Linked DNA regions of Neodiprion lecontei. The protein of the gene in region 2 interacts with the protein of the main gene of each other region in a biochemical or structural test. Links are inferred from orthologs where the notes say so. Each region holds a gene or a part of one and is shown on either strand. Other genes may lie near its edges. The genes, in order: BAG family molecular chaperone regulator 2; serine/threonine-protein kinase Pink1, mitochondrial.

Evidence for each region.
Region 1: the proteins of serine/threonine-protein kinase Pink1, mitochondrial (region 2) and BAG family molecular chaperone regulator 2 form a complex in vitro, tested with the Homo sapiens proteins (2 studies listed by BioGRID). The link is inferred for Neodiprion lecontei from reciprocal best matches to the Homo sapiens genes PINK1 and BAG2.

What each region holds. Positions count from the first base shown.
Region 1 is NC_060264.1:8,009,593-8,014,327, forward strand, and holds BAG family molecular chaperone regulator 2, read right to left. Parts: upstream 3,044-4,735; 5' UTR 2,807-3,043; coding exon 2,641-2,806; intron 2,324-2,640; coding exon 2,211-2,323; intron 1,603-2,210; coding exon 1,378-1,602; 3' UTR 805-1,377; downstream 1-804. Other genes in the region: receptor expression-enhancing protein 5, read left to right, coding at 4,295-4,421. UniProt on the Homo sapiens protein: Co-chaperone for HSP70 and HSC70 chaperone proteins. Acts as a nucleotide-exchange factor (NEF) promoting the release of ADP from the HSP70 and HSC70 proteins thereby triggering client/substrate protein release.
Region 2 is NC_060263.1:37,178,910-37,186,368, reverse strand, and holds serine/threonine-protein kinase Pink1, mitochondrial, read right to left. Parts: upstream 5,550-7,459; 5' UTR 5,365-5,549; coding exon 5,250-5,364; intron 4,490-5,249; coding exon 4,215-4,489; intron 3,744-4,214; coding exon 3,208-3,743; intron 2,986-3,207; coding exon 2,863-2,985; intron 2,631-2,862; coding exon 2,213-2,630; intron 2,138-2,212; coding exon 2,039-2,137; intron 1,956-2,038; coding exon 1,701-1,955; 3' UTR 731-1,700; downstream 1-730. Other genes in the region: ubiquitin-conjugating enzyme E2 J2, read left to right, coding at 6,531-6,655, 6,812-7,046, 7,295-7,423. UniProt on the Homo sapiens protein: Serine/threonine-protein kinase which acts as a sensor of mitochondrial damage and protects against mitochondrial dysfunction during cellular stress.

The DNA.
Region 1 (4,735 bases), on a different chromosome or scaffold from region 2:
AGGTCCGATTTATACCTATATATGTGTGTCGTTACGACCAATGAATATTTTTGTGGAAAAGGCATATTGATAAACGTACATTCTTTTCTGTCTTTTCGATGTTTGTATTCCACATGAATGTCCATTATCACAGCAATGACAATAGACATGATTTTTACACAATATACATATACTATATACATATAATGTATACGGATTATAAATAGCAGGTCAACTATGTCTGTGAAACATATCCGTATAAAAAAGAAAAAATGTTCGTACTCTATCACATAGAGTGCAGCCCAGTGCTACGCTTTTATTATAAGATTACAGGATAAAAATTACATATGTTATTAGGAATTTGATAAAAAAATAAGGCTTTTATGCTAGAACACAATGTAACAAGACTTGATGACTCTCGATAGTCTTCCCAATTGTATAACAGCTTTTAATAATAACAAGAGACATTACATTGTCTTGAAATAATCGTCATTTTCTATGACGTCTTATCAGTCGAAATAAATTTGATTTAGTCGCAATCAATTTATAGATTATGACGAAGTAATTTTTTTCACGAATTTTTTTTAACCTTTTATCACACATGTATACCTAAGCTAACAATTGATGATACAACTTTTATAGTATAACAGTTGCGACCAATTGTAAAAATATAAGGAACAGGTTCTATATTTCTCGCACCAGGTTTGAATTTGATTTTAATTTAATCGATTAGAAAAACAGTATTATTCTATTCAAGAATTATTCTATTTATATTTGAATAAAAAAATAATTCCGTTTTCTCTGGAAGTCGCAATTTAAAAAAAAATCTTTTAATACGTGCGTTGCAGACGATTGTGCCTATTATTCAACAGATCAAAAGTATTACAAACTCTTTAATATGTTTTAATTTGTCGTGGTGTAATATCAAGTATTTGAATTAAATTAGGAATTATCATTGGGTAGTTTTTCTTTTTCACATTACATGTAATAAATAAGTACAGAAAACGGACTGACAGCAAACAGACCAAACTTTCGATTTAGATTAAATTTGATTTCTTCCTCTAATGTAGCTGAATGGTAATTCATATTTTCATGCTCTATACGTTAGCTATGTGTTATCAGAGTTGCTTTTTATCTACAATCGTAAATATGAAATTCGAACTTTTCTCTTCATTGTCGTTTAGCTTGTTCTCTAGGAAATTGAGGAACACCTGCAATCTGGTTGATCAATTATGAGGAAATGATATCTGCAATGTTTCATTGAAAATGTTGCTTCTTTGCTATGGAACTCTAATAATATACTATGTTAAAGACCATGATGGTATATAATATGATTGCTCGAAAGTCAAAGTAAAGAGAAATCTTCTCAATAAGCTCTTAAACGTATATTCGTTAAAATTATATTGTATGCATCTTACTAATGTAATCTAGCAGCCCCTGCAGTCTTTTTTTGATACGCTTTTGATCATCTAAAGTACAACCTAAAATGGCAGACTCGAAAACTTGTTCTGAATATTCCGGACCATGGGAAGTACAAGCACTCATGAACCTCCTACATCGCTCTCGTGTAGCCTGGGGATCTTCTTGCAATTGGATGACCAAGCTGTCGATCAAATCATTTACCTGTAACAAAACATACGACGTCAGATCGGATCAGATATACTACGGACTAAAAAATTGTGACGAATAGTTTTCACTGGTTAATTATCAATTATAAATAATTCGATGTAGAATATCCGAATAAATCATTTTAAATTTCACTAAATATGTTAGCTATATCGAATATTCATCACCAGCAATTCATGCTACAGCAAATGCCTTAACAACGGTTTTGAAATCGTACGTCTCTCAAGATATGAAAAATCCTATTCTAGTATTATAAACTATTACCACATATTAAATTTTCTACCACCCTAGTAATATAATCAATTATTGACATATAAGCAGGCAGTGTTGGTCTTGATGCAAGCCATCAAAAAGTGACGATTACGTTAGCTGGCCACCCAGTGGTCAACCACTATCAAGCCAGTGGTCTGTTACATCTATTTTATTATGGAAATTAATTACCTACTCACTAATTAAAAAAGTAATTGTGTTACAAAAATATAAATATAAACAAATAAAATAACTGCGTAATTACGTGGAAAAACATAGATAAAATAGGATGTTTAATGGTTACGTATAATGATTTTCATTCAGCAAAACATCAATCATAAAAAAGTCTTTCCTACCTTGTGCAGAGATTCTTCTTGATCTGTATTTCGCTGAGTTTCAATGAGGATTTCAACTGTCGAGGTCCGCACCCACAACCTCTCCACCGATCTCATGATTTCTTCTCTCTCCTCTACTCGGTTATAGAATAAAAAAATAATTGATTAAAAGTGATTGTGGATAATGGTGTTAGATATGAAATAGAAAGAATCATAGCAATATTTCACAATTCACGGTGAAAACACAATTTTGTTTACAGGTTTGTCTTTTTCTATTACAGCAGTAGGAAATTTTGGAAAAATTCTTTACTACGTGTTGTTATCTCATTATTTCGTAGCAACGTGAACTCGGGGATTCCTGTTGTTTCCGTTAACCTCTAGAATTTTCTGTTCATAGTTGTTGTCAACGGATTTAAATGGATCGAACTTACCGAACTCGATCCAAACTTACCGGTCACTAATTCAAATACACTTTCGTTGTTTTGAAGCGCGTCCAACGTGCTTAATAAGTTCTCTTTCTTTTCCTCAAGCTCCCACGCTTCTCTTCTCAACTCCTCAACACGAGCCTCGACCTGATCGAGGATACTGACTAACCTATCTCTCTGTTTGTTGTCCATGATTTCTGCAAACTGGCTATTATCTCCCACTCGTAATTACTTCGAGACGACACTTTTACCGTAATTCCAATTAACGTCTATTAAAACTTCCGAAAAAATAGTGTTTCACAATTTTACGACCCGGTGGAACAACACGTTACGAGTGATAATTCATTTCCTTTGGATCTGACAGCCTTCGTGGATCTGACAATCAATCGGTACTCAGCACCTATATGTATGTATAATTTTTCGATGGGAAACATCGCGAAAGTTCGGTACCAACTGCTGAGTGCGACACTGGTATGTGGCGCATTGGCGTATCGAGTAGAAAATGTCTTTCATTGGTCCGATCTAACGGAAGGCGGTACGTCGGCTGCTGTGCATGCTTATGCAGAAAATAAGAGGTGTTATTATTTATGTACGGTCAAAAATGCAGCCGACTGCAGCTGTGATTGTAAAAATTTTATGGATAATAAATGGAGAAACGGACGTGAATACACATGATATCAGTCAACGCATGATAGTTGCTGTTAGTATGTATATTACACATTGTATACAAATTATGCGAATATCCCGCCAAAATTGTTAAAATGACAGGCGCAGAGCTGGCGCATAAAATGGCACGCAATTGATACGAACAAAGTATATATACTTTGCTTCATATAAGTAGAATTATAAGTCTATGCTTTGCATGTAAACCTATTCGAAAATATTGAGAATTTAAGAATCGTGCCGGCTCAGCTGTGTACGAGATTTGCATTTACGTCAAACGACAACCAGCCGCATTCGCAAACTCCGCCGGTAATCTATTACGTAGTGCTATAACAAATCTGCACACTGAACGGCTGTATTGAGAATCGATAAATCAAATGTAGTCGGCATATTATAAATATATATGGTGTATATTTTCATTACATTGGTCCAGTTGTGTTATGTGATGTTGTATGGTGATTTCAGGCTGTTGTCAAGTTGCCGTTTACTATTGTCATTCTCCGGTATGTAGCCCTGCCGGTGGTAAGATCCAGCTACATCTAAGGCTAGCCCAAAAAAGACGAAGCGGCGGTAAAAGACCTTCGATGGTAATAAGCGGGTTGACACAAGTTTCCCCTTCCACTTTTTTATTTGAAAACCAATTGAAAACTACGTTGAAAACTTATGATATTTTATTACCACAGCGACAAAAATAAATGTTGAAAAGGAAATTGCTAGTAAGAGTGGTAGGACTGATTTTAATAACAGCAAACAATGAAAATTTATTTACTTTTATCTCTCAAGAGTGCGCTGCGAAAAAAATTGTATTACCAACAAACGTGGGGGAAAACTCAGAAGTTTTACTAATCTTTAGTTATTTCATCACCCAGCTCGATTCAGGTGGTAATGTGTCGCAATAGGTGTCGAATAAGATTCCTATACTAAAGCATTGAGTGGCATTGAGTATCAACCCGCTGACGGCGATTGACGCTTTGGTTTTTATATTGAAAGCAGGTGTACAGATTCCTGTAAACAAAAATGGCCAGAATAGCAGTGATAAAAGAATCGTTGGATAAAGCATTGCGAGATGAAAGCAAACCGTGGACAAATGTTTTCGCAATTGCTGAACAAAAGATCGGGATAGACCGGCTTTACATTTTTCTAGGTAAGTTAGGTTACCTATCACGCATTCTGTCATGAATTTTGCACTTTGAACACTTATTTTGCCCGTCATTCCTTTATGTAACAATCTTTCCATTTTCAGTTTTATTATCCTTCGGCCCCAATTTACTAACTCGGGTTTCGTTCTTACTTCGTGCAAACATCAATTGTTGATCAACCTTATTTAAGTTTTTATACACGCAGTAAACGTGGTCTTGATTTTTCTCCAGACAGCATTTCGATTCCAGATAAGTTAACGTTAACACAATCTTAACCGATTTGCAAAATGACCGCAAGTTGATTAAAGCACAAATTCCA
Region 2 (7,459 bases):
AAGTATCTTTGTCATATTAATGGATGAAACTTTATTTGATCCATACTTCAAGCGATGCTATTTATGGTTCGTAAGACACATATCATTATTTGATATACACTGAAAAATATAAATTTCAGTGTGGAAAAAAGAATGCAAGAACTAAGAATAACTGAGGAAGTGGAAGAAGTGCCTTTGGATGTCATGTTCGCAGGTAATTCAATCAATATTGACTTTTCTTTTCATATTACCTCTAAATTACAGTTGCTTTCACGCACTGTTTTGTGGTGATAAAAGCTTATGACACTTTTTCAGCATACTGTCGAATGGATCCACTTTCCAATTCGACAGGCGTAAAGTTGCTGCCACTTTCGCAAAGCGATAAATGGCTGGCGTCAGCTAAAATTCTTGATATGCATAAAGTCACAACGACTGACACTGGATTGTGTTTTTTTAAATTTCACAAACGTGCCATCAGTTTCGAAGAATACCTCATATACTTGGAAGATTTGGCTCAAACAAAGGGTTTAAACATTGAAGACATGAAATTTGCAATGCAGAGAAGTGGAAAGCCAGTTCATCCATTAGATATAAAAAAGAAAAAAAAATGATTGTTAGAACTAATAAACACGAGATGCAAATATGCAGGATATTCTTCAGGATAGTTTTCTAGTCCCAAATTATATAACCATTTTATGTATGTATTGTTAGCACTGTTATATAATCTGTACAATAGTTATGAGATAGATACTTAAGAGCACTTTCCACGTATATTTGTATTCTCTATTTGGATCCTAGTTCAACTTCAAATCGATATTTACATCTCATATACAAGTTTTCACAAATACAATGAAATAATAACAGCCAATTCAACATAATTTCCCCTAAAGCTAGATTTCAGAACACGATAATTTAGAGAAATATACTCTTTATCAATATTCGACTAGTATTTCTATGAGATATTTAACCAAGCTGCAATAAATAATGTTATGTAATTCATCATGAGGAACTCAATATTTCAACAGGCTCTTACTTATCTCGATACAATCAAGTGTATCGCGAAGTACGAGTAGTTCCGCAGTATCTTGCGACTTTCATCGATATTTGCTGGTACGGCAAAATTCACAGTGCTCAATTTTATAATACGACAAATTGTTTATTCAAGGAACCTTATTTCTTTCACGTATTCAAAATACTTGTTGTGGATTAACAATGATATAAGTAGAATAAAATTTGAAAAACAACGTAATAGGTTCAAAAATAAAGCTGATAATATCTGTACATCCTTTTCAAAGGCACTTTCACCAAAAAGAAGAGACTGACATAACATTATTCTGCAGTACCATTTTTTGTGCTTCGCGCAGTTACAGAAGAGAAGAAAAAATATTCTTCCTTAAATCAGAAAATTTATGTACAGTAAGATGAATAGGCATACGTGTCTTGGAAGTAACGTAGAAATTCATTTTCGACATTTTTTCTCAATGTAAGGATTGCCTTGTATTGCAATAGCGTGTAACCATGTTGGTTATACCCAATAGTAATATGATTCCCGAACCAACATTTTTGTAAAGTTTTGAAGACTATTGAAGAAATAAATAAAATTTATCAAAGTTCAAGAGATAAAGCACAACTGATCTCTACCAGCATATCATGTTTTATCAATGCATCAGTATACAATACTCTAAGAATCATCTCTTGTTTCCTTCCAATAATACTAGAGTTTAAGTGTGGTTATGAATCCACTTCAACGCATCTCTTACATTTATCAGTGAAACTCTACTTAAAAAGCTGGCTATCAATTGATACTCGGGCATTGTGCGACGTCCACATGATCGGGTAGATATTTGCTGAGTATATTCACGATTGGAAATGAGATCTGCGTTCAATTTCTGAGAAAGTTGATTTGGCGTAGAATCAGTGATCTTTCGACCCTCGCAAAGAACTTTGGTCGTGAGACACAGAAGCCATTGAAGAATCTTGAACACAAAAATAATAATAATAAAAATGACAGTACATCAACGCGTGAAATTTAAAGCTCAAAAAGTAGAACAACTATCACCTCGTTGCTTGACGGTAATTTACTGTCGCTGTTTAACCAAATGCTTGGTGCCCAGAGAAAGACTTGTATAATGGTTGCCGCCATATCGGGATTATTCCTCTGTAACGGAAATAGAAGTGATATTAGTTTTGATGAATTTTTGAAAACACTTCCTTCCCTTAACAAAATAAATACCTTGTACATGCTTCTGTTAAGCATATTCTTAATCAATGCTACAATAACAGGTGGTATTACTTCTGGAAGTGGCGGTAATTCCGATTCTATATAGCTGTGGTTCATCAGCAGTGGTTTTTGCCCTTTTTCCCCATAAAATGGATTCTTCTGACCAAATATTTCGTATGCAATAGCCCCTGCAGCCCACAGATCAGCTTTTGTGTAATTCAAGCTAGTGAATGGTCCTGGTTCAGCATTAACGATTTCTGGAGCCATCAGTGCACTGTTTCCTCCTTTGTCAATATCGTGAGAACTATATGGCAGGTAGAGACCATGAGTTTTGTCTGCCAAGCAGCATCCAAAATCAGTTATTACCAACGACGGGCAATTATCACGTTCTTCTGAAAGGTCCAGAAGAATATTGTCACTTTTGAGATCCCTGTATTAAAAAATTTCACTGTATTAATAAACATACATTACGTGTAACCAAAAATACCACATTTTTATCTGTTGTTCAAAACGTAAATTAAAAGCAGCATGAAGAATTCACGCTAATTCTTTTTTAATGAACAAATATTAAGTCATCCATTGGTATAATAACCACGGTGCATGATATAAGAAATATTCGTCTACACCAAGTGGAAAACGTAATCCAACACTGACTCCCTTACCTGTGTGCAATACCTGCTGAGCACATGTGAACAATCCCTTCCAATAGTTGTGCTAACAACAATATCGATTTTCGAACGATTAATTCTCTGCCCACCATATATTGTTTCAAGCTAACATCATACCTGAAATACAATACCCGTATTGTCATTGGAAATCGATACACTATATTGATATCTCATTTCGTTGTAACATAACATGTAACATGACACACATGATTCTAGGTATACCTTTCCCAAGTGTTTCTCTTGTTTATAATTTTAGAAAATACCAATAAATTTGATCCAATTTTTCAGAATCTGCAAAATTCCGGAAATTTGAAGCTCCCAGATTATATTGTCAAGTACCTTTTCATCAGCAAAAAGAGGCTCATATTCCTTCCAGAGCCGTTCGGGTTAATCCTAGGTGGAAGAGCGTCAGGATACATTTTCGATGATCCCGGTAAATCAGGAACTCTATCGGCAAAAACGCAATACATAGCAACGATGTTCGGATGTGGAGAAAGAATTCTTTTGTTGTCAGCCATTTTCTGTTCCCACAAAGCCAGTTCTTCATTCTGACAATGTTTTCTAGCTGGTACAGTCTCTCTGTACATAGCTCTCAAAATAGCTGTTGCATTAGACTCTGCGTCATAGTTGAACATCATTTTAATAGCTAACGGAAAGCTGGACAGATCCTTATTACTGGTATCAACAGTAATTTGAGAATCCTGTTTTTCTTCGGGGTCAATCGGACGAGTGGCATACACGACTGCTGAGCATCCTTTGGCTATTGCTGGTCCAATTACAAAATCCTTTAAATCAACTGGATTGTCTTCAATCGTTGTTGCTTCGTAATTCTGGTCGTTTTTTGGAGTGTTCCATTGTACCTTAGACACAGCCTCCTATGAATGAGGTAACAGTTGATTACATAACATGTTAAATTTATTACAGTCTATAGACGATTTTCAGACGGTTTAGCGTTCCTTTTCGTGGCTAGAAAATTTTCACAATCGTTCATTAGTTAAATTTTACAAAAACAAGTGTGTTGAAATAACATTCAACTCACATGTGACTATCTAAAATCCCATTTACAAAATAATTATAAATGCCAGCTAAGTTTGAACTTGGAAAAATGATATATTTATAAACAACATAAAGTCTGAATAATAATAACAAATAAGCTGACATTTGAATAAGAGCCATTTGTAGATGACATCACCATGTCTAATGAAGCTTTAGTTAAGGGTTTATTTTTTCCTTTGAATGACATGATAAAATATGAATTTCATAGAAGTTGTGTTGCAAAAAATGAAATTTGTTTGTAAGAGCATCTAATTTTTATGTTCCAAAAAAATATCTGGAAGTATGCATACTCTGATTTCCCAGCAAACGCCTTCCAGCTCGTCATCTTTGGTAAGTATTCCAGTACCAGATGCCAGCGATACGCCAACCAGAGCAAAGAATGGTCTTGAATCTCCAAATAATAAACGTTTTGCTGCACGACGTCGTAAATCTCCGGCGAGACTATTGGTCACTCGCTTCAAAACATTGTCAACAAATATCCGCCGAGCATGGAGTCCCAGGAATCCGAGGTGTCTCCCTGCAGCAGAGACATTACCACCCGTAGGCAGCTGGCCCTGGGTCTTACCTGAATCAAGAATTTCAAAATACACTAGTCATAGTTTGGCAAGAAATTTTATTTTTATTTTATGGTGTTGAAATATTTATTAGATTATAGTTGAAGAAGAAATTAATTATGAGTCAAGAATTCTTGTTCATTAGTAATCAATCAACTAACTAATTGATACATAAAAATCTGAATTGAATTAAAAATTGTCCCATAAGTATGATAGTAAACAAGAATGTTTGCTTTTGATTCTGTAATTCTTTGTGTTGTTCTCAACATGAAAGTAATTTATTCCTACTCTCTCGCATAAAATGATGTTTCAAGTCGAAAGTATGGAATAAAACAATGAGAATACACTCTACACTGAATTGAAGCGGGAGTAAAATCTAACATTATTATGAGCACCAGTCGCGTTAAACGTATATAATCACATGTAAAATGCTGAGTATATAAAATTGTACAAAACTTGGAAGTGCGTATAATCGCAACAATGAAGGTGCCTCGAGTGATTTTACTAAAAAAAAAAAAAAAGACAATGAAAACAACGATTCGTACCAGCTCTGAGATTGGAAATGACGTTTCAAATGAATGCAGTATTTACATATACATTCCAAGTACGACATACCTATAATACGCCGTTACGTTGCAAGGGATAACCTAATGATAGTGACATGGTTATTTGTGACGATTGCCAGCGAATTGGTACCGGACTGATGAGATTGATGTGTCGAGTCGATTTGAGTATGATAGTCACGGGTAGAAGATGACAACAGGCCCTTACCTACTTCCACAACGTGTATTTTGTTGCCTTGCGTGTAATATTGTGGATTGCGTACTGAACGGAGAAGGACACGACCATTTTGCAGGAGACGTTGCGCTACCGTTCGTAACGACATTTCTCCGCACTCGTGGGCCGAGAGAGCCCGGGCGGGCCCTAACCCAGACGCGAAGAGTTTTAACTGGAAAATTTTGATCGCGCAATTATCAAGAGTCCTGGAACACTCTAATTATTTTTAAAAGAATTCGAACACGTCTTTTGTCGCCAGTTCAAAGTTCACCATTTGCAATTATCATACCCATGGATGAACCTGCCTTTCGGACCCGATTGGGTGAAATCAGCCTCCATTTTGCGCAGACTCGAAATCCGCAAAAGCGCGGGAAAATATGAAATCAGGAAACAGGACGTATACTACTCGCGGGTTTTTCCTTCTTTCGGATAAGGTACCTAGTGAAGCTGAATGCGACAAAAAAATCGTATCGCCAACAACGCTAATATAACGGTATAAGTATAATTAATTTTTCTGTCATAGCATAGATACTTATCATACTTCCTAGTTCGCAAGTACATCCGCGATTGTGGCGTTATAAAGGTAAACTTGCGTTGTAAAATCTGTTCAGTCTACTGATGATACATTTGGCGAAGTGCGAGGACACGCATAAAGAAAAATAATTCCAGTCAACCAACTTCTCTCAGTCTGAATTGATCCGTATTTACGATTCGAATGACGAAAGTGCGCCTGACAATGAGCGATACTTGGAATATAATGGTCATGCGTAAAGCGCACAAGTCAACTACGCAGGATGCTGGATTGTTTCACTTCCGGTATACGGGTCTTCCATCATATGTTTGTGTGCCGTGAAAATTGTTGGTTGTCAAAGTCGAAGGATATTTTTTCATTCGTTGTGACTCCTGATTTCTAACAATCGCAATAATATTCGCCCCGTATTTAGCCAGGTATTATCAAAACTCTGCGAGTGTACCGTGAAGTCGTATTTTCCAAACGCTCAAATTCCAGTTAACCTTTACAACGTTGACGTGGTTTTTTTTTTTTTTTATCATTTTTTTTTTTCATCGTCAAAACTGACGTCTGACTCCTCTACGAAAATAGGTTATCACGTTATACGTATACATGTAATTAATTGTATCGCGGTAATGTGTCTCACGAAAAACAGTTGAGCCTGATGTGAGAAATAATTAATACTCATTCGTGAATACAAGTGTGAAAACAGTGAAGTTTCCATTACCAATAGTACCGATCAACCCAGCCTAGTTTATATATATATGGTAATAATGAATAGAAAGCCAAACACTGCCACTGCTAGATTAAAGCAAGACTATTTGAGACTGAAAAAGGACCCGGTGCCGTACGTCGTAGCTGAACCCGTACCTTCGAATATATTAGAATGGTAATAAAGATAACATTATTTTGATCCTTCGCGTGCGTAAAAGATTGACAATTCATCCATTTGCACAATATTGATGTCAGTCGACGTATAGCATTGAATCAGGCTGCAAGCCTACGACGAGACAATTGATTTGTTTATTTATTTTTATACTTACAGGCATTATGTTGTCAACGGTCCGGAAAGTACACCTTACGAGGGTGGATTTTATCACGGAAAGCTCGTATTTCCACGGGAGTTTCCTTTCAAACCACCTAGCATATACATGACCACGCCAAACGGCAGATTCAAAGTAAACACACGGCTTTGTCTATCCATATCCGATTTTCATCCAGACACTTGGAACCCGGCATGGAGTGTTTCCACCATTCTCACCGGTCTCCTTAGCTTCATGGTAAGAAGGCTTCAGTAAAGTACATTTCCCATGTGCTAGTACTTCACATTGAAATTGCATATTTTTTTTAAGGTTTTCGCCAATATTGTTTCAAAAACTGTTGCAATACTTAAAACAAATGGAAAAATTCATATTCTACTTATTGTTGACATGTTGCTGGTTTCAGTCAAAATTTCAAATATTTACAATGTATTAAAAGTTTTGAGATATTGGAAAACTGTTGAAATATGGATATTGTTTTCGCACAGATTGAAAAGAGCCCGACACTGGGCAGCATAGAGACACCAGACTATGAAAAAAGGCTGTTGGCATCGCAGAGCCTTGAGTACAACCTCAAGGATAGTACATTTTGTGAATTATTCCCAGACACGGTATCGGTAAGTCGATAACCTCTTTGTTTAATGAATTTTTAA